Saccharomyces cerevisiae S288C: one gene and its partner. The protein of the gene in region 1 purifies or fractionates together with the protein of each later gene. This does not show direct contact. Each region holds a gene or a part of one and is shown on either strand. Other genes may lie near its edges.

Evidence for each region.
Region 2: the proteins of ROT1 (region 1) and KRE6 purify together in Saccharomyces cerevisiae (affinity purification with western blotting; 2 studies listed by BioGRID, with this or other methods). This does not show direct contact.

The regions. Positions count from the first base shown.
Region 1 is NC_001145.3:652,376-666,022, reverse strand, and holds ROT1 (Rot1p), read right to left. Parts: upstream 1,272-13,647; coding exon 501-1,271; downstream 1-500. Other genes in the region: DNA repair protein RAD14, read left to right, coding at 1-178; cyclin CLN1, read right to left, coding at 1,739-3,379; CIK1 (Cik1p), read right to left, coding at 4,494-6,278; v-SNARE protein VTI1, read left to right, coding at 6,825-7,478; YMR196W (uncharacterized protein), read right to left, coding at 7,681-10,947; ICY1 (Icy1p), read right to left, coding at 11,606-11,989; CMC4 (Cmc4p), read left to right, coding at 13,136-13,175, 13,248-13,429. UniProt on the Saccharomyces cerevisiae protein: Required for normal levels of the cell wall 1,6-beta-glucan. Involved in a protein folding machinery chaperoning proteins acting in various physiological processes including cell wall synthesis and lysis of autophagic bodies.
Region 2 is NC_001148.4:848,709-866,363, forward strand, and holds KRE6 (beta-glucan synthesis-associated protein KRE6), read left to right. Parts: upstream 1-8,874; coding exon 8,875-11,037; downstream 11,038-17,655. Other genes in the region: YPR158C-C (gag protein), read right to left, coding at 6,227-7,549; YPR159C-A (uncharacterized protein), read right to left, coding at 11,606-11,707; GPH1 (glycogen phosphorylase), read left to right, coding at 12,598-15,306; cyclin-dependent serine/threonine protein kinase SGV1, read right to left, coding at 15,741-17,655. UniProt on the Saccharomyces cerevisiae protein: Involved in the synthesis of (1->6)- and (1->3)-beta-D-glucan polymers of the yeast cell wall in vivo. It is required for full activity of beta-glucan synthase in vitro.

The DNA of each region.
Region 1 (13,647 bases):
GCGACTGAAAACAAGAGCTCAAGAATATACTAATAGATTAAGAGAAAAGAAGCATGGGAAAGCCCATATTCATCATTTTAGTGATCCAGTTGATGGAGGTATTGATGAAGACGGTTATCAAATTCAAAGAAGAAGATGTACAGACTGCGGGCTAGAAACTGAAGAAATTGACATTTAAATGTTGGTTATGTATATAAGAATATAACAAGAAAGTCATAATAAGGTGTTTTGATTGTGTTCATTGATTGATATCCCATTTGTCACTCGTACATAATTAACTATCTCGGAAAAACTGGTTTGAAAATCTTTTATTCATCCACCTTATTTAATAATATGATTACAATCAATTCCTTGGGTGCATAAAATTACACCTATTCTTGCTTCTCTTTCTCGCCTGATAAAGTTGTTTTGCCTTATATGTTTATAGTTTTTAATATTTATTTGAAGGCCACATGGGGCCTCTTTCCCCCATTGGTTGAATAAGTATCCCTGTAGTGCGCCTAAAATGCTAAAAATAATAATGAACCTACACCTAGCATACCCGCAGAAATATACCAAATGGCATTGGAGGTTAAAAATGAGGTATTTTGTCTTTTAATGGCATTCGTCTTGTGTCTGTTTTCCAGGCTCCTCCTCACTAAACTTCTCAGTGATCTTTTCTTATTAGAGGATGGGTCGTCAGTGCTGGTCGCTGACGATGTTGGGTTCAAAGTTTCTGTTGGAAGCATCATTGGTGGTCTATAAGCCAAATATAGTGGTTGCATTGGAGTACCATCATATTGGTACAATTGCAGGGTGTAAATACCATGGTAAGGATCTATACCTACGGCATATTCCTTGAAAGTTTCTGTTTGGTTATATCTAGAATAAGTCGAAACTCCGTCATCATTGCATGGGTCGCTGAATAGTTGTCTACCGTCAACTTCAATAGGATTCAGAACTAACGTACCGTTTTCTGAAATGTTATATGTACCATGCTGATAAATCAACGAAGCCATGGGGCAAGTTGGGTTACGAGGATTGCCACTTACCTGGTAAGTAGCTTCTTCGTACCAACCATCTTCAGTGAACGAATAGCTAAGCCCGGGCAATGAAGGTTCTATCAATAGTTCATCTACGGGATCATAAAACCCCGGTCCCGTGAACACTTGATTTGATTTAGATGACCAGGTACCGTATATAGAGTTACTTTCGTCTTCACAATAGACCTTTTGAGCAAACAAATACCCGCCTAAGATTAGCTTTTTTAATGTAAACTTTTTCGACCACATAGTAATAAAGTGCAACAAATAATAATGGTTATAATACCGATCCTTTCCTCAGAATGATGTCTTACTTCAGTTTAATATGCCGGTAGGTTCTCGAAAAAGATGAGATCTCAAGCTTTAGTATGACTATATATCTATAATCTTAGAGAGGCTTTCTATTTATAACTGTTTGCTAATTACTACTCTCCTTTGCTTACCGCAAACGTTAGAACGAAAGGAAGAAAAAAATACTGGAAAATCGCGTCATCTTTTCCGTTCATGATGATAATTATATCAATCGTTGAAAGAATATTGGTATATTACTATTCAGCTGGTTTCAGGTGAAGAATATTGAGGCTAGATGTTTGTAGGTGGGCATTAAAATTATCTGGTATTAAAATGTCAAGTATGAATGTCATTATTACTTACGATGGAAAAGCGTAGTATTCCGTTATTAATTAAGTATATATGTAGGCTTGATGAGAAAATGGTCACAGTTGAGAGCTATTGTGGTTCCTTAACGATAGCGATATCGAAGACGCTCTATTAGTAAGTTCTCCTGTGTTCTGGAATATACCAGTCGTCATAAATTTGGCACGTTGTGGTATTTCAGCGGATGATGAGTTGGGAATTCTATTCTCTTTATTCCTTTCTTCTAGCATCATATTCTGATAATTGCTTGATAATGGCATGTTACCATTTTGGGTTTGATTAGGTAGACTGCTTACGCTTATGGCACTGTCACAAGCACTTTCGTTTTTAAACTGATTAAAAGTGTACATGTGAGGGGTGATCGGCGATGAATGGTCAATGTTGGTAGTACTGAAAACACTGTTGTCTGATTGTGCACTGAAGTTTCGCATTGGAGTATAATTGGTTCCCGAAGAATATGTGCTTGGAGAAGAAACTGATGATGAAGAGGCATTTTGGTCAAAGTAACGAGAATTGACAGCAATTTTTCTGGTTAGGTCTATTGTAGAGGCCAGTTGCAGTTTCTTTTGTAATTCCAAGTTATAATCTTTTACTTGTAATATGAAAGGTACTATACCATATTGCTCCTTATAAACTTCGACTAAAGATGGGGGAGAATTGACTATGCCATTGATGATAATGCTGAATACCTGCGTTTGAGTGTTTGAGTTTATATCATTACCAATGGGCATAGAGAGAAAAGGGCCTTGATCTTGATTAGTGAATTTGTTTATTATAGAAAACATACCATTGCATATTTCGTATAATTCGAATTTAAGCAAGTTGTATTGCCAACAGCTCAGATCAATTAAGAATCTTTTCAAATTTATCAATTTAATTTTGGAATTTAGTTCTTCATCTTCATCCATGGTAGTTGTATCGCCATCTAGTCCAGTACTTTGCGGTGAACTACTGATATGTTCTTCCACTGTGGCATCACTGTCGTCAGAAGATTGTGACTTTCTCTTACAGGACCATTCTTTGCCGTTGCTATTGTTATTTTGTAACTGGTTTTTGTAAAGTTCATATTGTATCAAACAATTTTCGTCAACGTTTAAAATGTAGTCATTAATCATGGGCTCATAAACGTCCCAGTTCAGAGTATCCAAGATATGTCTTTCCATTTGAATGAACATTGATTCATCGAATAAATCGGACCCGCCGCAATAATGAACCAATTCAGAAAGGCGTGGAATACGAGCTCTAGGATTGGGACCATAAAACCTACCACCTGTGGGGATGGAGACGTTGTTTATAATATGGTTGCACCCTCCCCAAGTTTTGGCCGCTAACCAAAGGCAGGTGCCTACAACTAGTTTAGCTTGGTCCTTTAACACTACTCTCTTAGAGCAATAGCGATCGTAGAACCTGACAGCGTGGAAGAAGATACCATTACTTACTCTAGTCATCACTGAAAGTTGATACAAAAATGTTACTATGGCTTCTCTAGTTTGATGAGGATTCATCTCCGGTTGCTGATCGATCAATTTTATGTCTGGTTTTGTCTTGGAAGATTGGACCAGCACATTTTGAGAGATTTCCTCGTGATATTCCTGTATGGTTTCGTAATGAGTTAGTAGTTCTGCATTGGACAATTCAATTGGGTAATATGTCTGCTTTGCAGTGACAATTAACCCAGTTTTCACTTCTGAGTGGTTCATGATCTTTTTATTTATTTTACAGAAATAGCTAACGAGCAGTGGAGTGGTGGTAGTGCTATTTTATTTAATTGCTATTATTGTTATCGTCGTTAAAATGTATTGTCAGCAAAATTACACTAATTTCTTCTATCCTGGGGAGATGGGATGAATAAATTGACAATAACCAGGAAATAAATTAAAGCGAACGAAGAACTCCTTGGCCAATTTGCTCTTAAGTGTGCATTCAACTAAGAAACTATTGAAGATAAGCATTACCAATTCCAAAATATATTCTTATATAAAAAGAGATACTAAGAAAATATCGAGAGATTAATTGCTGCACTCGCACCGGTACCACTTGGCGCAGGAAAACTGCGGTTTCCACAGGGGACCCACGCTGCCTTTACTCCATTCTCAATCTTGCCTTCTGCAGTATCTTTTTTTTTAATTTTCGAGTCTTCGTCACTTTCGAGTTAGTCTCCCTCCCAGCCTCGACCTGGCACCATTCAGCTCAATCCAGCAAAATCGCCAAAAATGCGTCTCCGATGCTTTCAAGGTTGGAAACTAACTAACGCGGTGCGAGATTCCCTCGAAGAAGTAAAATCGCGAATTCTTCCTTGAACGCGTCTCTTGCAGGCTGAACAAAGAAGTCGCTAGTGGATCGTCACAGAATGAACACGCCCACGAGCGGGATCTGGCTCGAGTTGTCATGAATACTGAAAGTATCAGGCGCGGGGTTGTAGTAGGTAAAGAATTTCTCCAAGAGGTTGTAGGAATGGACTTGTTTACCCCTTTACGCGCGGTGTTTTCGTGGCTTTACCGCATTGGGGTATGTCCCAGAAGAGAGTGTGCGCTATTCGATTTCCTATCAGTGAAGTGTTGCGAACAAGGGAATGCTGTCGAATTAGGAAAACAAAAGTTTATTCATGCAAATTTTGTGGCACGCTACCCTAAGTTCTCGATGATGTTTGGCTGCGTTTAAGTGAGTAATTTACATCCGCCTGTTAGTCCCGTAACATTCTCTTTTATTTTGCTAGGATAATTAGGTTGATGCCACGCACGACAATGTAGCTACGTAAGTTTTTTATGTAAGGGAACGAGACGAAGTGATTGTAGCGCACAAGATCTGGCCTTCTTAATCTAGCTGAGGTAATGTTATTGTTCTTTTCAGCTTTCCCGCTAAGGCTAGAGCCTTCTCGATGTTTTCACCAGCGTTAATCTTGAAGACAAAGCACTGCTTTGTTTTAGTGAGAATATGCGAAAGGACTGAGGGAGCATCATCAAGCTCTCTATTCAGCTGTACCGTGGACATACTACCGATATATATATTCATTGAATGGGACTCTTCATCTTTTCCCAACTTGGTATCTAAAGTTAAAATGTTCATGCATTCTTCATCTTGTGACAGATCTCTAATTTCTGTTGGGTTATCTAATCCAACGTCACTGTGTTTAATACTTCCGTCAAGATGCAAAATGTTCAATGTCATCTTATAATTCTCACCGTACTGCTCAATTAACTGTTTTAGCAAAGTCTTTTTCATTGGTGCTGTGGGTTGCTGCGAAACCACTATAATGCTGCAGTTAATTAACTTGCTGATGTATTTTTCCAGGAACGGAATGCATTCGTTATATAAGCGTTTGTGATCCTTATGGATTTCTTCGAGAACTACTCTATCAAATACTTGTACCCGTTTTTCTCCACTATTCTCGCAAATGCACCGATCCACATAGTTGATATGGAATTCATCAGGCATTTGTCGTTCATTGGCATACGCAAAGCATCGGGTGTATCCTTTGATTTCTTCAATTGAAGTGGCCAGATTTTGTCGTGTGTATAATTCCTGTTGAACCTTTTCTAGTTCATTAACGTACTTCTTCTTCCAATTGTTTGCTTCTCCTTCGACTTGCTTCTTCTCCTCCTGCACTTGCGTCAATGCTTGTGATGTAGAAGCAAGCTTCTTTTTGAGAGGAACAACGGCAAGTTCCATGCTATGGAAGTTCACTTCTGCCTCTCCAATCCTTTTTTCAAAATCGTTAAACTCATCTCTACACGTCTTAATATTTTCTTTCAGTTCACCATGGGTGTCTTGTAGGTCTTTTAAAACTTTCGAAAGTCTTTCTTGCTCCCCATCTAATTCAATTCTAGCATCGTTCTTAACTTTCTTGAATATCTCGAATTTCTTGTCCAATTCTTTTTTGTAGTTTTTACACTCGTTCTCATTTTCATTCTGTAGAATGAATAGTTTCCTATTGACCTCCTCGAATTCTGTTTTAAGCTGTCGCATTTCGTCAGTTAACCTTTCGTCAGGTTTCAAATTTTCTACTTCCATTAATTTATACGTCCACTCCCTTTTGGCATTCGATAGCTCTTCCTCTAAATCGTTTTCGAACTCTTGTACTTTTACTGCATGCATAGACACTATATTTTTTGATGATAGCTCAACATTCTTTCTTTGAAGATCACATTGATTATCCTTCAAGTCCATCTCCGTTGATAGTCCATCAATCTCATTTTGTAGCTCCCTGCACGCTTTGACTTTTGCATCTAATTCTAATGTTATTGCAGGTAGTTCCCTGGCATGAATACGAACAGATTCCTTTTCAATTTCAGAAATAGCATTCAGTAGTGAATCTATGTCTTTTCTAACCTTACGTTCATTGTTCTTAACCCTTTCAATAATCTTGGGGTCCCCCCCAAAGGTTAGTTTCTTAGTATACGTAGCGGAGGTGTCATCAGTGTAGCAGCGCCGTATACCAGATCCAGAGCTGTGCAATATATTTAGCTTGTTGTTATTAGGAGTTAGTATCATATCCATTTCTCTTTTCTGAACCTTCTGTCGTTTTGTCTTTGGAAAGTCTCGAGTGACGTTGTTTGGATCACTATGAAAGGAAAGTTTAGGAATTTTGGAGTTATTCATCCTAATAATAAAGCTTATGTCAACGAGTTTCAAATGCCAAAACAAATATTAAAATAGTGAATAGCTCTTATATATACACGGTCCAACCCTATGGCACAAAATTCACTTATTTAGGCGCTTAATTATAATGTCGTAGTTGTGTTTCAAAGTTGCTTCAGCCAAACGGAAAAGCCGCCTAAATGTGTCGATCAGTGAATGAGCTCAATAACGTGTGGATATCAAAAAATAATACAGTAAAGCCTTATTCTCGGACGATATGCTCAATGGTCAACGACTGACTAGTTTTATTTTGATACGAGCTACGACAGTGGTATCTTTCATATACTAGAATCATATTAGAGAGTAAATAAGAACAAAAATGGTAAACAAACAAATATCACTATGGACGATATTACTGATCACATGACTGTCTAATTTTCAATGAAAGTTAGGAGTGGAGTAGTCGTGCTATATAGGGCAATTACTATTCTTGGAAAAGTGTAAAGCTTTACATTAAGTTGTATAAAACGAATCAACCGCACTCTTTACATTGCTGCATGGCTTACTATGAGTTCCCTATTAATATCATACGAATCTGACTTCAAAACAACCTTAGAACAAGCCAAAGCGAGCTTAGCAGAGGCCCCCTCACAACCGTTATCACAGAGAAATACTACACTGAAGCACGTAGAACAGCAACAAGATGAGTTGTTTGACCTGCTAGATCAGATGGATGTAGAAGTTAATAACAGCATAGGCGATGCCTCAGAACGTGCTACGTACAAGGCGAAGTTAAGAGAATGGAAGAAGACTATACAGAGCGATATCAAACGACCACTGCAATCCTTAGTAGACTCAGGCGATCGTGATAGACTTTTTGGAGATCTTAACGCATCTAATATTGACGATGACCAAAGGCAACAGTTGTTGAGCAACCATGCAATCTTACAGAAATCGGGAGATAGACTAAAAGATGCCAGTAGAATAGCAAATGAAACTGAAGGAATAGGGTCACAAATAATGATGGATTTAAGGTCACAGAGAGAAACTTTGGAAAATGCAAGACAGACCTTGTTTCAAGCGGATTCATATGTGGATAAAAGTATAAAGACACTAAAAACAATGACTAGAAGGCTAGTTGCTAATAAATTCATAAGCTATGCCATTATCGCAGTCCTTATATTATTGATTTTGCTAGTTTTGTTCTCAAAGTTTAAATAAGGTGGGAAAACAAATTCAATAAAAAACCTCTAGAATCTAAAGAACATGTCAAGGAACTATAGAGTTACCTTCACTAGTAATATCAACGCTACCTTACTGATAAAAAACTACTGCAATTAAATATTCTATAGATCAAAATATAGAGGTATATCGTTGGAAATATTTTTCAAACGTACAGATATTGAAGGTTCACCGCAGTTAATCAAGACACATCCTTATTCAACGGACTCATTGGGTCCATTGGGTCTATATCCTCATCTTTAGCCTTGTCAGTTACTTTCATATTTTTCACCTTATCTTTTAGCTTGCCTATAAGCTTGGTTTCAAAGTTGTGACGATCTTCAGGTACCACAGTTTCGTGAATACCTTCCTCTTCATTCATTTCCTCCATCAAATGTCTAGCCTTGTCACTTGAAATGCTGCTTTGTGGTGTCAACCCAGAATGGGTGCCCCCTATCCTATGATGGCGCTTTTCTTCTTCGGTTAAGTCCAAAATGGTGGCAGTGTAGTTTACCAAAGACTTTGCACTCTTACGTCTTGCCATTCTCTTCATTTTGGGACCTTGCTCAGAGCTCTCTGTTGAAGCGGTCGTTGCCACAGATGATCTTGGCGTACGAGGTAGTCTTACACAGGATATACCTACATCACTTATCCATTTGGCCACAAGAGCAGTCCAACCACATTGGTGTGAAGCGCCAAGCCCTCTTCCAGTATCACCGTCAAAGTATTCAAAAAATGGCACATAATCCCTGAAATATGGATCAGAAGACAGAAACTTAGAGTGATCACCATAATGAATGGCGCGCTCCCCGTTTTCGTCTGGAACAAATAAGTGAATCATACGATATCCAAGTTCTTCGGCAACTTCAGCAAGATTCAAATAATCTCCTGAACCTACGGGACACTCTACTTTGAAGTCGGAACCGTAGTACAGGTAAAACCTTTGTAATGCTTCCATTATTAAAAAGCTGGTAGGAAACCAAATGGGCCCTCTCCAGTTAGAATTACCGCCGAACATACCCGAGTCTGATTCGCCCGGCAAATATTTGACCATATATTCGACACCATTTACATTCATTTCGAATGGGTGCTTCTCATGATATTTGGAAAGAGATCTAATACCATATGGTGACAAAAACTCAGTTTCATCCAGCAAACGTGACAGTATGGCTGTTAATCTTTCCTTAGTAACTAGGGATAAAAGTAGTCTTTCTCCCACTCCTTTTTTTGACATGGACGCAATGTTTCTATCAAAGATTTCTGGACGGTTGTTCACAAACCAATCAACCCTCTTCTTGAAACCGCGGAATTGTTTTATGATACTAGGCTCTAAAGTCATAGAAGCATATAGTGGGATCAATCCCACGAGAGATCTTATTGGTAGTTGCACCTTGTGGTCACCCCAAGAGATGGCATCGTAATAAAATTTGTCTGCTTCATTCCATAGGTTTTGTTTGATAACTTCTTTACATTTCTCTCCCGTAATATCAGTAGCGTATTCAAAGGACATAGAGTCACTGATTAAGATAAAATGTTCAAAAAATTTAGAGGCAATATCTTCATAAACCGGGTTTTCTTTGGCGAGCTCTAATGCAATATTTAGCATTTGAAGGCTGAAAAAGGCCATCCAACCTGTAGAATCAGCCTGTTCAAGCGTACCGCCAGTGGGTAGTGGTTCTGATCTGTTGAAAACGCCAATATTATCAAGACCCAAAAATCCGCCCTCAAAAACATTTTTACCTTCAGTATCCTTTCTGTTGACCCACCATGTAAAATTTAACAAAAGCTTCTGGAAAACTCGTTCTAAAAATGTACGATCTTCACGGTTGTACATGTTTCTTTCGATCTTGAAAACACGATACACAGCCCATGCATGGACTGGTGGATTTACGTCATTGAAGTTCCATTCGTATGCCGGAATTTGACCGTTAGGATGCATGTACCACTCTCTGGTTAATAAATCCAATTGCCGTTTTGCAAATTCTGGATCAATCATAGCTAAAGGAATGCAGTGAAACGCAGTATCCCATGAAGCAAAAAATGGATACTCCCATTTGTCGGGCATTGATAAGATATCTTCGATGTAAAGGTGCTTCCAGTTCTTGTTCCTGCCATTAGCTCTATTAGGGGGAGGGCGAGGCTTAACATTGGCGTCACCATTATACCAAGCATCATATGTAAAATTGTAGAACTGTTTAGTCCATAGCAAACCAGAAAAAGCTTGTCTTTGAAGGTTTCTTAATTCATCACTGATTGGCAAAGGTGTAATCCTCCAGTAGAAGTTATCAGCTTCCTCCTCTCTGTTATCGAAAATCAAATCAAACTCATCTTCATCTACGACAGCCAGGTTTTGTGCCTTAAAGATAGAGTTTTTTGGGTCATTTGTAAATTTGTATCTCACAGTAACATACTCTCCGGGCGGAATATTTTTGAAGTGATATACTGCGCAGGCCTTTGTTCCTTTATTTTCAGGATTTACAGCATCGGTTTTGCCTTGAACAAGATATTCTTCAAAAGCATCCTTTGTGTACTCGGAAGGATTCTTTTCTTCGTTAAATAGTTTTACTAAATTGGACTCATTATCGGTAAATAGCAGCAGAGGATCTATATCTTCTACCTCTTTATCTTCCTCTTCCTCGTTTGTACCGGAAGAGAACCCACCTGGAGATGGCTGAAAGACCATTTGGCAATTACCATATTTCTTGTGAGTCATATTGATTAAGTTCGCTGCTTCTGCATCTCTTTCAAGCAAGGGCTTGTCCTTTGTTCTAGTACCGTCAAAAGCCCAAGTATTTCTGAAGAAAAGTTGGGGAGCTATGTAGAGCTCACCAGAGTCGATTTTACTTCGATTATGTATAGTTAGCCGAAAGTTCAGTTCACTAGGGTTTTCGTCATCCTTTGCCATTTCAAAAAAAACATCGAAATAAGGGTTGTCACCGGTTTCACTATCACGGTATAGCCCATCTATATCGTAAACTTCGAATTCTTTATCCTCGTATCCCCTTTCACCATTCTTTTGCACCAATTCTTTGTATGGAAAGGCCTTTTTAAAGGGATACTTGTATAAAGCTTTCATATATGAATGAGTGGGAGTATTGTCCAGGTAAAAGTACAATTCCTTAACATCCTCACCATGGTTCCCTTGTGGCCCAGTCAACCCGAACAACCTTTCCTTCAATCTTTCATCTTTACCGTTCCACAGAGCGACATTCATACACACCAATTGTTTGTTATCTGAGACACCAAATAATCCATCTTCACCCCAACGGAATACTCTTGCATTGGCATGTTCGAAAGGAAAATTGCTCCAAGCATCACCGTTTAAAGAATAATCTTCACGGACTGTCGCCCAGCTTCTTTCACTCAAGTAGGGACCCCAACGATACCAGTATTTCTCATGATTTCGATTTTCACGCAATCTTTCTTCTTCTACTGTAGAATCTACAAATTTGTCTCTTAGCTTGTTCATTGTTGCTGTTTAGACTTGCTATCTCTTACCAATACAAGGTCTTAACACTAGTAAAAGAATACTTGACAAGACTCTTTAGTTGCACTTTAGAAATTTGGAGGTGCTGAGAAAGCGGTGGATACCAAGGTACGATCGTATAGTATATATATATATATATATTACAGTGTTATCAAACAGGTTTTCTTGGCTTGCCGCTTTTGATCTGGGTTAGCCCCGCAAGATGATGTTTTACCCCTTATTTTTGATCTAGCCTTTTTTTTGTTCAATTGGATCTGAATCGCTAAAGATTTAAACTAAAGAAAGAAGAAGACAGGATAACAATCAATGGATACAACAAATAGGGGCATTCGGAGACACAGAGTATCCATTTTATTTTCTTTTTTCTTCCGGTAGCTGGTCTTACACTTATTCTTGTCAGCAGACGGTGCGCCGCCACTCCCATTGTAACTCTTGTGATGAGCTCTCCTTTCAATGGAAAAGGAACATCACGTGAAGCGAACGCGTATGAAGAGGAAATCAGTTAGTTGATGTTTGTATGGGAATATTGTCTGTTGGAAGTTTATAGAAACAATAATGCGTGTGTATTTATGTATGTTGAGTGCATATATATGTAGGTAGATTGTTTTTTTCTTTTGATTATCATTCCTTAATCGTTATTCTAAAATGAAGACAGCCACAATCTGTAGTTTTGTTGGGCGGCATTGGCATAAAGATCGGTCAATTTATCACACGACTGGGTAGTTTTGGCCGCGACGGCCATGCGACAATCCTGGACGTTATTCATGGCTTGGTGTTTGTAGTTGTTTTCTTGAGGGTTATCTAACGAGAACACAGTCTCGTCCGAGGCAGAACTTGTGTTCAAATCGAACTTCCCGGTGTCTCTCGGTACCACGAAAGGACCATTCAAATTATTATATTTGGCATCTTCCGAAGTATTGAGTGAATAATGCTCACCAAGTGACACATGCTCGGTAAATTGATAATTGGCAAAAGATAAGGGAAACACCTCATCGTCTAAAGGAGTGGCATAGTTTGAAGACATTTCTTGGTTTTATTGTATGTGTTATATGAGAAATTCAATTCTCCTTGTCATTAGTTTGTCTATCTATATATATTAACAAACAGGCTAGTGCTGAATGACTACGGAAAACAAATATTACATGCAAAAATTTTTGACAATAATGAGTAAGAGGCACATGCACTAGAGCATAAAAATTATGAACGTGTCTAGCTACATATATATCAATTAAATTAGTCTATCCGCGTAGCCAAGAAAACGATAACAAAGGGTACTTTACCCACTTGAAGGTGTCATTAACGCTGGTATGATAACCCGCTATCAAGCTGCATAATCTTTCTCCTACTATGCGCGTCTTTTGTTTTCATTTCACGGAATGACTCTTCCGCGGAGATTGGGCCGCGCCAGAAAATTTTTTTTCATCCGCTTCAGTCATTTCTGTCTGTTTTCTGTGCGCACTCTACGCTGATCGCTTGCGGCGGTAAAATTCCCCTGATATCCACCAAGGTGCTGAAAATCGAGCTACGGGGCGCTCTTGGTACGGGAATGGCAACAGAAAGAGCAGCTAGCTCGAACAGCCAGCTCTTTTTGAGGGGGGTAACACGTATGCTGGCAAAGGGCACAGGGTCTTATTACCCCTCCTTTGGTACGGTGGTCACCACAGTAGCAGAAGCGCTCGGATCATCGCTTCCACGTCATGCCCACGTTTCGTTTCCATGCGGAAAAATGCCCTCCTTAACATGACCACTTTGGGGGTTTTTGTATATTGTTTCTTAATTGCTGATTTGTGCAGTATCCTATCGTTCGTTCTTCACCCCTCCCCTTAAACCTTGCTAGCGTTTTGATATTTTTTGTTTCCTGTCACGTTCAATACTACAAATTACACATCTCAATCGGAATCGCGGGCGCAGAGTTTTTCCGATGTTGCCCGTCGCTAATATTTGGCGACTTTTGCACGTGAACGACGTCCCCACAATAAATTTCGCAAGGAGCGGGCGTGCGTTGTTAACGTCATCCGTTAGCGAGACTTTTACGGATATTACTTTTCACCCATGGGGTGTATATGAGAGTTCAGAAGAGGGTGTGGAGAGACAGAATATTACTGTTCTTTTTTTCCAAGATATTGAGCGTTTTTTTAGTTGTTGAGATTTGTTCAAATAAGAGGTAAATATGTCTAATCCATGCCAGAAGGAGGCCTGCGCCATCCAAGGTTTGTAATATTAACTTCAAAAGATTCGATCGTTTTTTTCTTTTCACTAACGTTTTTTCACATTAATTTTAGATTGCCTTCTATCACATCAGTACGATGATGCTAAATGCGCTAAAGTTATAGATCAGCTGTACATCTGCTGCTCAAAATTTTACAATGACAATGGAAAAGATTCACGGTCACCCTGCTGTCCGCTACCTTCGCTTCTTGAGTTGAAGATGAAACAGCGAAAGCTTACACCAGGGGACAGTTGAGGCTTCCAATTGGCCCTTCTTTCTACGTATGTATGAACTAGCAATTGAAAAAAAAAAAAAGGTATGTGCGTGAAGAGAATCTAATCATAAGTACATTATTCGTACTTCCAGGGAAGATCCACTCACTTTCTTTATGAAAAAGAAATATATTTATCTAAGATCAACCGCGAGCACGACAGTGAAATAGTATTAGTACTCCACCGTATAGTAAACGATTA
Region 2 (17,655 bases), on another chromosome or scaffold:
TCACTTGCATTAGACAATAACTACTATATTACACAATTAGACATATCTTCGGCATATTTGTATGCAGACATCAAAGAAGAATTATACATAAGACCTCCACCACATTTAGGAATGAATGATAAGTTGATACGTTTGAAGAAATCACTTTATGGATTGAAACAAAGTGGAGCGAACTGGTACGAAACTATCAAATCATACCTGATAAAACAGTGTGGTATGGAAGAAGTTCGTGGATGGTCATGCGTATTTAAGAATAGTCAAGTAACAATTTGCTTATTCGTTGATGATATGATATTGTTCAGCAAAGACTTAAATGCAAATAAGAAAATCATAACAACACTCAAGAAACAATACGATACAAAGATAATAAATCTGGGTGAAAGTGATAACGAAATTCAGTACGACATACTTGGCTTAGAAATCAAATATCAAAGAGGTAAATACATGAAATTAGGTATGGAAAACTCATTAACTGAGAAAATACCCAAATTAAACGTACCTTTGAATCCAAAAGGAAGAAAACTTAGCGCTCCAGGTCAACCAGGTCTTTATATAGACCAGGATGAACTAGAAATAGATGAAGATGAATACAAAGAGAAGGTACATGAAATGCAAAAGTTGATTGGTCTAGCTTCATATGTTGGATATAAATTTAGATTTGACTTACTATACTACATCAACACACTTGCTCAACATATACTATTCCCCTCTAGGCAAGTTTTAGACATGACATATGAGTTAATACAATTCATGTGGGACACTAGAGATAAACAACTGATATGGCACAAAAACAAACCTACCGAGCCAGATAATAAACTAGTCGCAATAAGTGATGCTTCATATGGTAACCAACCATATTACAAGTCACAAATTGGCAACATATATTTACTTAATGGAAAGGTAATTGGAGGAAAGTCCACCAAGGCTTCATTAACATGTACTTCAACTACGGAAGCAGAAATACACGCGATAAGTGAATCTGTCCCATTATTAAATAACCTCAGTCACCTTGTGCAAGAACTTAACAAGAAACCAATTACTAAAGGATTACTAACCGACAGTAAATCTACAATCAGTATAATTATATCCAATAATGAAGAGAAATTTAGAAACAGATTTTTTGGTACTAAAGCAATGAGACTAAGAGATGAAGTATCAGGAAATCATCTGCACGTATGCTATATCGAAACCAAAAAGAATATTGCAGACGTAATGACCAAACCTCTTCCGATAAAAACATTCAAACTATTAACAAACAAATGGATTCATTAGATCTATTACATTATGGGTGGTATGTTGGAATAAAAATCCACTATCGTCTATCAACTAATAGTTATATTATCAATATATTATCATATACGGTGTTAAGATGATGACATAAGTTATGAGAAGCTGTCATCGATGTTAGAGGAAGCTGAAACGCAAGGATTGATAATGTAATAGGATCAATGAATATAAACATATAAAACGGAATGAGGAATAATCGTAATATTAGTATGTAGAAATATAGATTCCATTTTGAGGATTCCTATATCCTCGAGGAGAACTTCTAGTATATTCTGTATACCTAATATTATAGCCTTTATCAACAATGGAATCCCAACAATTATCTAATTACCCACATATATCTCAGAAATTTTACTAGAAGTTCATTATCCTATTACTTATCAATCCTTGCATTTCAGCTTTCATTAAATGTGCTCACTGTTTCTCAATCTTTATGCCATATTTTTGCACCGTATACGATAACATGCAAATAGTACGAATACTAATCGATATGTGATGGTTGATTCTTATTCCAACAATTATCTTGAACTTCAATCAACTCTCGCAGTTGTCACGTGCAATTTGATACATGTCGCGTTGATATACAAGTACTAAATACGGTACACAATGGATTATTTCTGTTGTATCTCAAAATGAGAAATGGGTGAATGTTGAGATAATTGTTGGGATTCCATTGTTGATAAAGGCTATAATATTAGGTATACAGAATATACTAGAAGTTCTCCTCGAGGATATAGGAATCCTCAAAATGGAATCTATATTTCTACATACTAATATTACGATTATTCCTCATTCCGTTTTATATGTTTATATTCATTGATCCTATTACATTATCAATCCTTGCGTTTCAGCTTCCTCTAACATCGATGACAGCTTCTCATAACTTATGTCATCATCTTAACACCGTATATGATAATATATTGATAATATAACTATTAGTTGATAGACGATAGTGGATTTTTATTCCAACATACCACCCATAATGTAATAGATCTAATGAATCCATTTGTTTGTTAATAGTTTGAATGTTTTTATCGGAAGAGGTTTGGTCATTACGTCTGCAATATTCTTTTTGGTTTCGATATAGCATACGTGCAGATGATTTCCTGATACTTCATCTCTTAGTCTCATTGCTTTAGTACCAAAAAATCTGTTTCTAAATTTCTCTTCATTATTGGATATAATTATACTGATTGTAGATTTACTGTCGGTTAGTAATCCTTTAGTAATTGGTTTCTTGTTAAGTTCTTGCACAAGGTGACTGAGGTTATTTAATAATGGGACAGATTCACTTATCGCGTGTATTTCTGCTTCCGTAGTTGAAGTACATGTTAATGAAGCCTTGGTGGACTTTCCTCCAATTACCTTTCCATTAAGTAAATATATGTTGCCAATTTGTGACTTGTAATATGGTTGGTTACCATACGAAGCATCACTTATTGCGACTAGTTTATTATCTGGCTCGGTAGGTTTGTTTTTGTGCCATATCAGTTGTTTATCTCTAGTGTCCCACATGAATTGTATCAACTCATATGTCATGTCTAAAACTTGCCTAGAGGGGAATAGTATATGTTGAGCAAGTGTGTTGATGTAGTATAGTAAGTCAAATCTAAATTTATATCCAACATATGAAGCTAGACCAATCAACTTTTGCATTTCATGTACCTTCTCTTTGTATTCATCTTCATCTATTTCTAGTTCATCCTGGTCTATATAAAGACCTGGTTGACCTGGAGCGCTAAGTTTTCTTCCTTTTGGATTCAAAGGTACGTTTAATTTGGGTATTTTCTCAGTTAATGAGTTTTCCATACCTAATTTCATGTATTTACCTCTTTGATATTTGATTTCTAAGCCAAGTATGTCGTACTGAATTTCGTTATCACTTTCACCCAGATTTATTATCTTTGTATCGTATTGTTTCTTGAGTGTTGTTATGATTTTCTTATTTGCATTTAAGTCTTTGCTGAACAATATCATATCATCAACGAATAAGCAAATTGTTACTTGACTATTCTTAAATACGCATGACCATCCACGAACTTCTTCCATACCACACTGTTTTATCAGGTATGATTTGATAGTTTCGTACCAGTTCGCTCCACTTTGTTTCAATCCATAATGTGATTTCTTCAAACGTATCAACTTATCATTCATTCCTAAATGTGGTGGAGGTCTTATGTATAATTCTTCTTTGATGTCTGCATACAAATATGCCGAAGATATGTCTAATTGTGTAATATAGTAGTTATTGTCTAATGCAAGTGACAGGGATGTCATCAACGCATAATGATGTACAGTGTTGGATTGCATACCTGTATCGTACGTATCAGGATGCTGAATGTCACCTCTTGCAACAAATCTAGCTTTATGAGTTCCGTCACGTTTCTTGTTGAAGATAAACATTGAATTTATTACTCTTTTGGGGTCTATTTCTTTTCTGTCATAATATCTGTCAGTGTCCCAAGTTTTCATCTTCAACAGTTGGTTGACTTCTTTGTGGTATGCTTCGATATATTTTTCTTTTTCTTTAATATCTTTATTATAGGTGATTGCCTCATCGTATCGTAAGGTTGTTCGTATTGGTTTGATTGATTTTACTGCTTTTACAGCTGCAATCAGGTGAATTCGTTTCTTCGATCTCGGAGGTTCTAAACTACGCATATTCTTAGTATTCCATGTGTCTCGTGATACCTTAATTTCAGTTTCATTATCTTCTAATGATCTTTTCTTACTGTTGATAGTAGTATAGGCATTAGAGTCACCAATACCACCCAAACTGGAATTAGTTTGACGAGAATTGATCGGTGGAAGTTCTTTAAAGGAGTCTGATAATTCGGTAGGAGGTTCTGGAGGCGGATCGGGAAGTGGGAGATCAGCGATAATAGATTCCTCGGTATTCTGTTCAGAAACAGTAGTTGGCGTTTTGATAGGAACAATATTGTGCGATGAATTATTTTCCGGTGGAGAAGCATCGATTGAAGGTGAACGGTGTATAATCCTTTTCTCAGTCTCCTGGTCGCTTATCTGCGGAACAGTTTTGTTGTTGGTACCACCCGTACTGGATATTGGTACGTTTGTATGATTAGTCTCATTGTTACTGTACGAGTCTGAGTGTCTGAAATCTTTAGATTTACTGGCGTGCGACGACTCATGTGTGTTAGATTGGGACATGGGAGCAAGTAAAGGAACATTTAATTTATGCATACCACCCGAACCGGTACTCTCGATATTGGAAATTTGGGGGGTGCTAGATCTCTTCTTTGATGGAAGAATATTAGATTCAGATATGTTGGGGTCAACTTCTCTGGGTGCACGAAGATTGATTTCAGATATAGGTTTTGAATCTTCAGTATGAGTTGACGGAGGTGTGGAATCGGTTGGACTCACAGCTTTTGAAAGGACATTTCTCGGTTGCTCAGGATGTAGTTCAATGTCAGATTGGAAGTCATGGTCAGATTCTATGTTAAGATCATTGGATTCTTGGATCTCATTTGACGCAATGAACGAATGATATGAAGCAGTTAAACGGTTTAAGTCTTCATCGAAAGTGAGTGCGTCGTAATTGAATTGATCTAATCTGGATTCCTTGCCCTGAAGAATAACATAGTTAGTTGTATCTACTGTCTTCTTTAAGGATGGAAGATAGATGATATATCCATAAGAGTTTCGAGACGGATGTAGAGCGTAACCTGGGATGCCACGAGGATGTATTTTGGAGTTAGGGTTGTGATCATTGACGATAACAGGTTGACCGAAAGGTAACAAAGTACTGATATCAAGTCCTGCCAAGCCAGCATGTTGGCTTGCAGATTTTTTGCTTTTAGGTGAAGCTAGTGAATTTCTCACAATAGTAGAAAATTCGATTGCAGAGAACCATAAATGGTTCGGTAAACCACTACATTGCAGTTGAGTACGGCAGTCATCTAATAAGGTACGGTTGAGCCGTTCAGCGACTCCATGTGCTCGGGAATCCGCTGTGGTTGTATAGCATGGAGTTATACCATTTTTTTCAAGGAATTTATGGAGAGTTCTGTTAGTATACTCAGAACCACGGTCCATTTGTATAACCAAGACACTGGCCTGAAATTGGTTTTTAATGAAAGCTAGTATCGTGGTAAATACATCGAGGATAGAGTCCTCGCGACGGTCGTGCAATGGATAAACCCAACGGAATTTTGTTGTCTCATCAGTAAATGAGATGAAATAGGATGGTGCACTTTTTGGTAGGTTGTGAACTGGACCAAATATGTCAGTATGTAGGTATTGAAAGGGTTCGTATGAATTTTGGTATTTTAGTCGTGAACCTTTGATATGTCTGTGTTTGGTGCTTTTGCCGATTAAACAATCAGGACATTGATAGTCAATAGCACTAGACCAGTCGACATCTGATTCGTTAAAATACGTGATGGTGTTATTTTTAAGTGAGTATCGAATTGTCTGTGCATTGGCATGCGCAAGCATTCGATGAATGAAAGGATAAGGATATTTGCGTGTACTTTCACTTGTATGGACATTATTGATGGTGGGTACGGAGATATTTGATGGAAGCAAGTACCTTTTAGATACCCAGTAAAAGTCTCCATATTGTACGATAGGTGCAAGTACAGTGCCGTCAGATCGTTCTAAGACGTTTTTGGTAAAGCATGCTGTGATATCTACTGCAGCCAATTCATTCAAACTGAGTAAGTCATAGGCTATGTTAGGAGTGTGCAATACCTTTATTGATGTTTTGGTGTTGTCCTGGAAGTGAAATTGTAGGTCACCAATAGCGTTAATTGGTATATTTCTTTTTTGAGCATCAACTACGTTTATGTCAGGATTAGATGATGCTGAGTGTATGTGATGAGCAGATCTTATAAGGGTTCGTGATGCTCCTGAATCGAGAAGGAGGTGTCCAGGGAGTTCATCATCAGAATGATTAGTGTGATTTACCGTAGATTCAGTAAGTTCCTGGCCTAAGGTGAAGGTCGTGCTTATTGTTCAATTGAATCGGTTCAGTAGTTGATTTACTGATGGAATCGTTGTCCGTGCTGGGAGAGTTATTAGATGTGGATACATTGTGAGCCCTGGCTGTTTTCGATTTCGAATTATTTGTTTTTTGAGGATTCCGAGCTATAACTTTGGGTTTGGTTGTATTCGTATAGCTGCGAGAATCATTCTTCTCATCACTCAGATTTCTCCTGTAATTAGGTTTGCTGTTTCTCGATCCCTGTTGTTCTTCATAAATAGCATGGATATCTAAGAACAGTTCAGCGACTGTCATATTTAGATGTCGATGACGTGTGTAGCGTAAAAATTTATATTCGCCAGATAGACCTCTCATAATTAATTGGCATGCGACCTTGTTATTGATATGAATGCCATTATTGTTCAGTCTGTCGATAATGTTTGTGACTTTTGTTTCAAATGCATCTGCAGGTGTACTGCCATTATATTGCAAATTTGCCAGGGTCACAATGTCGTTTGCCTCTTGGGTATCAGATTGCATTTTTTCAATACTTTTGGAAAGAATTTTCATGATATCCGTATAATCAACGGATAGGATGTCTTTGACCCAGGTAGGTAGGAATTGAGAGGGAGCAAATATTTGAAAAGTGTTATACAAGAAGGTGAGTTCATCATCAGTGATCTGACGTACGGGTTTTCCGTTTACTGTCGGAATAATACCACCGAGATTCGAGTTTTGTAAAAATTTGATGTATGTTTTAACCCAATTTGGAAAGTCATTAGGTGAGGTTAACATTGGTGGTGGTCTGACATATTTTTTAGTGGATGTCATATCAGAGTCTGCTGAGGATGAATCAGTAAATGTATTACCTGACTCAGGTGATGGAGTGCTCAGAGGCGTTCCAACTGATGATGGATACTGCGGAAACTGTGATTGTGGCCCAGGTGGAAAGTACATAGGCGACATTTGATAAGGTGTATACGGAATCATAGATGGGTGTCCGTAAAATGACCAACCAGATGGATTGGCTTGGTTTTGGGTCATCATGCACTGCTGTGGGTACGGCCCATTCTGTGGAGGTGGTACTGAAGCAGGTTGAGGAGAGGCATGATGGGGGTTCTCTGGAACAGCTGATGAAGCAGGTGTTGTTGTCTGTTGAGAGTTAGCCTTAGTAGAAGCCTTCTCACATTCTTCTGTTTTGGAAGCTGAAACGTCTAACGGATCTTGATTTGTGTGGACTTCCTTAGAAGTAACCGAAGCACAGGCGCTACCATGAGAAATGGGTGAATAATTAGATAATTGTTGGGATTCCATTGTTGATAAAGGCTATAATATTAGGTATACAGAATATACTAGAAGTTCTCCTCGAGGATATAGGAATCCTCAAAATGGAATCTATATTTCTACATACTAATATTACGATTATTCCTCATTCCGTTTTATATGTTTATATTCATTGATCCTATTACATTATCAATCCTTGCGTTTCAGCTTCCTCTAACATCGATGACAGCTTCTCATAACTTATGTCATCATCTTAACACCGTATATGATAATATATTGATAATATAACTATTAGTTGATAGACGATAGTGGATTTTTATTCCAACACAAAATGAGATATGTCAGTATGACAATACGTCATCCTGAACGTTCATAAAACACATATGAAACAACCTTATAACAAAACGAACAACATGAGACAAAACCCGTCCTTCCCTAGCTGAACTACCCAAAAGTATAAATGCCTGAACAATTAGTTTAGATCCGAGATTCCGCGCTTCCACCACTTAGTATGATTCATATTTTATATAATATATAAGATAAGTAACATTCCGTGAATTAATCTGATAAACTGTTTTGACAACTGGTTACTTCCCTAAGACTGTTTATATTAGGATTGTCAAGACACTCCGGTATTACTCGAGCCCGTAATACAACAATTTACAACAAGATTCGGGCGTGTGGCGTAGTCGGTAGCGCGCTCCCTTAGCATGGGAGAGGTCTCCGGTTCGATTCCGGACTCGTCCATTTTAATTTTTGATTATGGAATACAAAATGTATATTTCGTATAAAATTATCTTTATTGTTTTTGTGGCTTAGTGATTTTCATTCCCCTCTTTTCTTTTTCCTCTCAGCCTGCAAGTGTGACGCGATCTGAAAGGCGTTTTACCCGCAAAACGCCAAAGAATCATCCTGAAGCGGTAAATTCTAGACTTCAGATCACATACGCTCTATTTGGACAGTTTTTTTTTTTTTTTCATATTCCTGATCAGATGAAAGTTAACGCTATTTTTGGTGAAAACACAGAATAAAACAGCTTCTGATAAAATTTAACTAGGAACGTCGAAAACAACAACCGTTAAAATATTTTTAGCTTACAGAAGCACTTAAGAATCACTAACGTTTTCTTCTTTTTTTATTTTCAGTCCAAAGCTTTCGTATTGCTGCAAGTGCTCGAGAAAGCTGCATATTGTTATTGTATTCGTCCTCTCGTACTAGTGTTCATTACTTTATCGTCTATAAATATATTGTTGTTAGAATTTTTCTACTAAGGCAAGTTAGTAGTTGCACAACATTTCTCTCGTTAAATCATCTAAAGTTTACAGAATAGGTATACCACTCACTCCTTTACTCTAATGCCTTTGAGAAATCTAACTGAAACGCACAACTTTAGTAGCACAAACCTGGACACAGATGGTACAGGCGACGATCATGATGGTGCTCCTCTTTCCTCATCTCCTTCTTTTGGACAACAAAATGACAATAGCACCAACGATAATGCTGGTCTCACAAACCCTTTTATGGGGAGTGACGAAGAATCTAATGCGCGGGATGGAGAATCTCTGTCTTCTTCTGTTCATTATCAGCCACAGGGGAGTGACTCTTCACTACTTCATGACAATTCTCGTCTAGATCTAAGTCAAAATAAAGGTGTATCTGATTACAAAGGTTACTATTCCAGGAACAATAGTAGAGCTGTGAGTACGGCTAATGATAACTCATTTCTTCAGCCACCACATAGAGCTATAGCCTCTTCTCCTTCTTTGAATTCTAATTTATCGAAGAATGATATTCTCTCACCGCCAGAATTTGATAGATATCCCTTAGTGGGTTCCAGAGTCACTTCTATGACTCAACTGAACCATCATGGTCGCTCGCCAACATCATCTCCAGGAAACGAGTCGTCCGCCTCATTCTCTTCTAATCCGTTTTTGGGCGAGCAAGATTTTTCTCCATTTGGTGGGTATCCTGCTTCATCGTTCCCACTTATGATAGATGAAAAGGAAGAAGATGATTATTTACACAATCCTGACCCCGAAGAAGAGGCAAGACTGGATAGAAGGAGGTTCATAGATGACTTCAAGTACATGGATAAAAGGTCTGCTAGTGGGCTAGCTGGTGTATTGCTCTTGTTTCTGGCAGCCATCTTTATTTTTATTGTTTTGCCAGCGTTGACCTTTACCGGTGCTATTGATCACGAAAGCAACACTGAAGAAGTTACATATTTAACTCAATACCAATATCCTCAACTATCCGCCATTAGAACATCTCTGGTTGACCCAGACACACCTGATACAGCGAAGACAAGAGAAGCTATGGATGGCTCTAAGTGGGAATTAGTATTTTCTGATGAGTTTAATGCAGAAGGCAGAACATTTTATGATGGGGATGATCCATACTGGACAGCCCCTGATGTTCACTATGATGCTACTAAGGATTTAGAATGGTACAGTCCAGACGCTTCCACAACTGTGAACGGAACCTTGCAGCTGAGAATGGATGCCTTTAAGAACCATGGCTTATATTACAGATCAGGTATGTTGCAGAGTTGGAATAAGGTTTGTTTCACGCAGGGTGCTCTAGAAATCTCTGCAAATCTACCAAATTATGGCCGTGTTTCAGGTTTGTGGCCCGGTCTTTGGACTATGGGTAATTTAGGGAGGCCCGGTTATTTGGCTAGTACCCAAGGTGTCTGGCCTTATTCTTATGAATCGTGTGATGCTGGTATTACACCCAACCAAAGTTCCCCGGATGGTATTTCTTACTTGCCGGGACAAAAGTTAAGTATTTGTACTTGTGATGGTGAAGATCATCCGAATCAAGGTGTTGGTAGAGGAGCTCCAGAAATTGATGTTTTGGAAGGTGAAACTGATACTAAGATTGGTGTAGGTATAGCCTCTCAATCCTTGCAAATTGCACCTTTTGATATCTGGTACATGCCTGACTATGATTTTATCGAGGTTTACAATTTCACAACAACGACCATGAACACTTATGCTGGCGGTCCATTTCAACAAGCCGTATCTGCTGTCTCAACTTTGAACGTAACTTGGTATGAATTCGGTGAGTACGGTGGCTACTTTCAAAAATATGCCATTGAGTATCTGAACGATGACGACAATGGTTATATCCGTTGGTTTGTTGGTGATACTCCAACTTATACTATTCATGCTAAAGCCTTACATCCTGATGGTAATATTGGTTGGAGAAGAATCAGTAAAGAACCAATGTCGATTATTCTAAATCTGGGTATTTCCAACAATTGGGCTTATATTGATTGGCAGTATATTTTCTTCCCAGTGGTTATGTCGATTGACTATGTTAGAATATACCAACCAAGTAATGCTATATCCGTGACATGCGATCCAAGTGACTATCCAACATATGATTATATTCAATCGCACTTAAATGCATTCCAGAATGCAAACTTAACTACTTGGGAAGATGCTGGTTACACGTTCCCTAAGAATATCCTAACTGGTAAATGTACTAGCTCGAAGTTCAAGTTATCCTCTTAAGCGGGTATTTTGATGGTAAATCTACAAGCCCTCGGCTTTAATTATTACCATGGTCATAAAAAGTTACTTACAATGCATACATTTTTCTTTTAGGAAGAAATAAAATATAAAAGACTTATCGTTCAAATCGGGTCATAAAGGGAACTAAAGGTATACTAAGGTAAGACGGGGTTCTCATCTGCACGTAATTTTTTATTATTTTTAGTGAGGGAGAACTTTACCTCTAAGATTGTTTATATAGGTATACACATTTTTGTAAAACTGATTATTCGTTTTTTTTTTTGAAACAAGTTATTAGTACAAAAATCAAGCTCTCACTACTTACCAGTAGTTATTTTAGTAGAATATTATTAACTCTACCGAATAAGTACGATATGAGAAATTGCTGATTTACTTGTGTGTGTTCCTATTATTATCCAGGAGCGCCTCTAATCTATGCTTATAATTTTACGTTGAAAAAAAAGGAGTCTGTATAATTATTTCAAATTCATCCTTTTCTCACGGATATTGTGTACCCTATGAGGTAAATAATTGCGCTTTATTTTCTCCCTGTGTTTGCTCGCTCATCTTAAGACGAAAAAAGTAATGGAACACCTACCATCAATAGAAGTACCACACTCATGTAAATAACAAGCGCAAGTGGTTTAGTGGTAAAATCCAACGTTGCCATCGTTGGGCCCCCGGTTCGATTCCGGGCTTGCGCAGATTTTATTTTTTGCTCCCTTCTAAAGCTCTGGATGATTCACCAACTTATCCAAGGCAAGGTCCAACTACCGTTTCCTTCGATGAAAAAGACAATAGGTAGCTCTGTCAAACCCCGTGGAAACGCAAACTCATCGGGAGTGTCCTACTGCTTTCCACTAGTTATCCGACTAGCAAGGCAACTAGTCAAGATGAAACCGTCTCACGAACATTTGTATACGATCTCTTCTCCTGATAGACAATGAAATATACCCCGGTGCTTGTTTCCCACTAAGGAAAAAAGGCCGCTGCCCCACAGCGGGAAGGCCCTTCAAGGGGTAGCGGCATCGCCTAGTAGCACTGTGGGGGGAAGAATACAACGCTCAACGGAAGAGGAAGCTCTGCGAGATGCAGCCAGCACCTTCTATGTTTCAAGGATAACATTTTGAATTAACAAGGAACGCCTTCCCCAATTACCGTTATTGTATTTTTACTTTTTAGAGACTCTCGAGGAAATAAGTAAGGGGTGGATAATTTTCGCTAAAAAAGTTTCAGGGGAGGTTAATAACTACCATGTGCATGCTACAAAGATAAGGAAGGAACACCGACGAATATATTATATGTATAAAAGGAGCATGAAGTTTGTATAGCAGTAAAGCAAGATTCTTTGTGCCTTCCCGTTTCTTGTTGTACCTTTTGTTTTGATTACGTACGAAGTATTATAAGTTTTTTCTGCTTGCTATTGTAATATAAAGTAAGCACAGATTGAGAAGGTAACGATTACTAAAAATATCCAAAAGAAAAACAATTGGATCTTTTTTGACTTCTCTACATTACAATTTCAGTAAAGCAGCTTTCAACTTAATTTAATTTTGAACAATGCCGCCAGCTAGTACTAGTACTACCAATGATATGATAACCGAAGAACCTACTTCTCCACACCAAATCCCAAGGCTTACAAGGAGACTTACGGGGTTTCTTCCCCAAGAAATCAAGTCAATTGACACGATGATTCCTTTAAAGTCAAGAGCGTTATGGAATAAGCATCAAGTCAAAAAATTTAACAAGGCAGAAGATTTTCAAGATAGATTCATTGACCATGTGGAAACTACATTAGCACGTTCCCTATATAATTGTGATGACATGGCTGCTTATGAAGCTGCTTCGATGAGTATTCGTGACAATTTGGTCATTGACTGGAACAAAACTCAGCAGAAATTCACCACAAGAGACCCAAAGAGAGTTTACTATTTGTCTTTGGAGTTTTTGATGGGTAGGGCTTTGGATAATGCCCTGATTAATATGAAGATTGAAGATCCGGAAGACCCTGCTGCCTCAAAGGGAAAACCAAGAGAAATGATTAAAGGGGCTTTGGATGATTTAGGTTTCAAGTTAGAGGATGTCTTGGACCAAGAACCGGACGCAGGTTTAGGTAATGGTGGTCTAGGTCGTCTTGCAGCTTGCTTCGTCGACTCAATGGCAACGGAAGGCATCCCTGCCTGGGGTTATGGTCTACGTTATGAGTATGGTATCTTTGCTCAAAAGATTATTGACGGTTACCAGGTGGAAACTCCAGATTACTGGTTAAATTCTGGTAATCCATGGGAAATTGAACGTAACGAAGTGCAAATTCCTGTCACCTTTTATGGTTATGTTGATAGACCAGAAGGCGGTAAAACTACACTGAGTGCGTCACAATGGATCGGTGGGGAAAGAGTTCTTGCTGTCGCGTATGATTTCCCAGTTCCGGGTTTCAAGACTTCCAATGTAAATAACTTAAGACTATGGCAAGCAAGGCCAACAACAGAATTTGATTTTGCAAAATTCAATAATGGTGACTATAAAAACTCTGTGGCTCAGCAACAACGCGCAGAGTCTATAACCGCTGTGTTGTATCCAAACGATAACTTTGCTCAAGGTAAGGAGTTGAGGTTGAAACAGCAGTACTTCTGGTGTGCTGCATCCTTACACGACATCTTAAGAAGATTCAAAAAATCCAAGAGGCCATGGACTGAATTTCCTGACCAAGTGGCTATTCAGTTGAATGATACTCATCCAACTTTAGCCATCGTTGAATTACAGAGAGTTTTGGTCGATCTAGAAAAACTAGATTGGCACGAGGCTTGGGACATCGTGACCAAGACTTTTGCTTATACTAACCACACTGTTATGCAAGAGGCCCTGGAAAAATGGCCCGTCGGCCTCTTTGGCCATTTGCTACCCAGACATTTGGAAATTATATATGATATCAACTGGTTCTTCTTGCAAGATGTGGCCAAAAAATTCCCCAAGGATGTTGATCTTTTGTCTCGTATATCCATCATCGAAGAAAACTCTCCAGAAAGACAGATCAGAATGGCCTTTTTGGCTATTGTTGGTTCACACAAGGTTAATGGTGTTGCTGAATTGCACTCTGAATTAATCAAAACGACCATATTTAAAGATTTTGTCAAGTTCTATGGTCCATCAAAGTTTGTCAATGTCACTAACGGTATCACACCAAGGAGATGGTTGAAGCAAGCTAACCCTTCATTGGCTAAACTGATCAGTGAAACCCTTAACGATCCAACAGAGGAGTATTTGTTGGACATGGCCAAACTGACCCAGTTGGGAAAATATGTTGAAGATAAGGAGTTTTTGAAAAAATGGAACCAAGTCAAGCTTAATAATAAGATCAGATTAGTAGATTTAATCAAAAAGGAAAATGATGGAGTAGACATCATTAACAGAGAGTATTTGGACGACACCTTGTTTGATATGCAAGTTAAACGTATTCATGAATATAAGCGTCAACAGCTAAACGTCTTTGGTATTATATACCGTTACCTGGCAATGAAGAATATGCTGAAGAACGGTGCTTCGATCGAAGAAGTTGCCAAGAAATATCCACGCAAGGTTTCAATCTTTGGTGGTAAGAGTGCTCCTGGTTACTACATGGCTAAGCTGATCATAAAATTGATCAACTGTGTTGCTGACATTGTTAATAACGACGAGTCAATTGAGCATTTGTTGAAGGTTGTCTTTGTTGCTGATTATAATGTTTCTAAGGCTGAAATCATTATTCCAGCAAGTGACTTGAGTGAGCATATTTCTACTGCTGGTACTGAAGCGTCTGGTACTTCTAATATGAAGTTTGTTATGAACGGTGGTTTGATTATTGGTACTGTTGATGGTGCCAATGTGGAAATCACAAGGGAAATTGGTGAAGATAATGTCTTCTTGTTTGGTAACCTAAGTGAAAATGTCGAAGAATTGAGATACAACCATCAATACCATCCACAAGATTTACCATCTAGTTTGGATTCTGTTTTATCCTACATTGAAAGTGGACAATTTTCTCCAGAAAATCCAAATGAATTCAAACCTTTAGTCGACAGTATTAAGTACCACGGCGATTATTACCTGGTCAGTGATGACTTTGAATCCTATCTGGCCACCCATGAATTAGTGGACCAGGAGTTCCACAATCAAAGGTCAGAATGGTTAAAAAAGAGTGTCCTGAGCGTTGCAAACGTCGGCTTCTTTAGCAGTGATCGTTGTATCGAGGAATACTCCGATACCATTTGGAACGTTGAACCAGTGACTTAGCTGGGAGTTTTTTTTATCTCTTTGGCACCCTTCTCCCCATTTCTAGTAAGCGCTTTTTTCTCTTTACTTCTTCTCTTATATAAAACGCCTTTAAAATAATCGTTATCGGTTTTTTGGCACTCTTTTAAATGGTATATATGATGTTACAGGAAAACTTAGTTGTTTTCATATTGAAAATCCGCGCAGGATAACGCTTGTGTAAAACCGAGTGTCCTGAAGGTGGGTAAGGCGGTCCTTATTATCACTTACTCGAACGTTGACATTGGTACAGTCCCTATCAGGTAGGATGTACTGACGTTTTGACAATAGTTTCGATTTTATGGATTGTTTGAAAAGAGCGAGACAGTGACAAAACGTGATAGATTACATAGTAGTCAGTATACAACTTTCCGTAATTAGCCACGAGGCCAGAAAGGAAGAGAGAATAGTATAACCTAATATAGATCTGCAATATCACTATTTTGGAACTCCTTAGACTCATCTGGTTTCGCTCTTTCATCCTTAAAGCTTCCATTTTTTTTCTCTATTGGTTTACTCGTAAGCTGATGCTGCCCCTGTGAGGGCGAGATTGGGAATTGTGGATGAGAAGGTCTCGAGCCTTGATGATGATCACCAGCCATATTGCGAGAACCGTTTGAAGGATTATAATTTTTATTGATTGGCGCATTGGATTCTTGGCGACTATATTTCTGTGGTTGCCTATTGAAGTTGGTTTCCGGCTTGTTCACGTACCTAGGGTTATGATATCTAGAGTCATTTGGCGAGTTTTTGTACCGGGACTCATTTGAATTACCCTGGTATCTTGACTGAGGCCCCAATGGCAAAGGTACTTTATTATATTTAGAGCTGACATTTGTCTCAGGATGAAATCGATTTACGGGATTCCTGCTGTTGTTGGGTGCAGTGCTGTTGCCGCTGAAGCGATTATTTCTGGAACTATTGTTGGGTCCGTATCTATTAACTCCTGCAGGGGCTGCTGGCGGTGGAATCGCAGTTTTAGCATATCCGCTGTTCACATGATACGGTCTAGGATTTTGATGTAGTTCTCTTATTTTCGAAGGAGGCGGCTTAGCCAATACGTTCTTTGATGGAGGCAAAAAACTTGCGTCATCTTTCTTGGGGCCTCTTGGGATCGCCCCAAGATTTTTCACGACAGGTGATTCACCCTTTTCAACTATATGACCTCTTGGCGCAGTAGGTACTCTTTGGGACAATGATTGGTGCATTTCTTCCTTGTACCTCTTAATATCAGCTTCATGACTTTCTTCCGTCGGTAATGTTATCTTCTCTGATGGTAAAGGGTCCTCTTTAAACCAAGGATGGTGTTTAGCAGACATAGCGGTCAACCTCTTGTAAGGATCTAACGCTAACAACTGTCCTAAAAAATCTAGACCTGTTTCACTTAGATATTTACCAAATCTTTCCCTCAACGTTGGCTTGTAATTAGTTGTTGTTAGTTCAGCACCTGGCAAATATCTAGCCACGGCCCAATCTTCTTCTGTCGGTGTACCAAGTAGTTTGAAAATAACATGTCCCTGATCAATATCCGTTTTTCCCTGTAAAATAGGTTTTTTCTCAAAAAATTCTGCGAAAACGCATCCGACACCCCATATATCAACAGCTGTTGTATACTGTTTATCACCAAGCACCAACTCAGGTGCTCTATACCATCTCGTTACGACTACTGATGTATATTTGGCGCCGGAACCTGCACCACCAGGATACTTTAAGTTTGGAGGACAGCCATAATATAATCTTGCTAAACCAAAATCAGCAAGCTTTAAAACACCGTTGTGGTCAATCAAAATATTTGCTGTCTTTATATCCCTATGCATGAATTTTGCACAATGAATATAATTTAGGCCTTCTAATATTTGTAGCATCATATTCTTTATATCGCACATCTCTAAGTTGATTCTCGGATTATGCAAAACGCCCGACAGATCTGCTACCATATACGGCAGGATCATGTAGAATGACTTATGTAGGTTGCTGGATGCCGCATTTGTAATATCCGGTGAATGGTCATACACCATTTCGATTAGTTTAATAATATTTTTGTGGTTTAAACGCTTTAAAATAGTAATTTCTCGTTGTGCAGTTATAGGAAACAGATCTTTTTCAACGCTAACTATAATTTTTTTCATTGCCACTTGTCTTTGAGTCTCTAAATGAATTCCCTTATAAACCTCACCAAATGTTCCTTGTCCTAATTTTTCATCCTCACGATAATGATTCTGGAAAACTGTACACCCGTAAACTTTCTCACTACTTCTTTTTCTTAGTTTGATGTATGTTAAGTTAGTCTTCGCATCTCGCTGGATGGCTGGTGTACTCTTCACTTTGCCG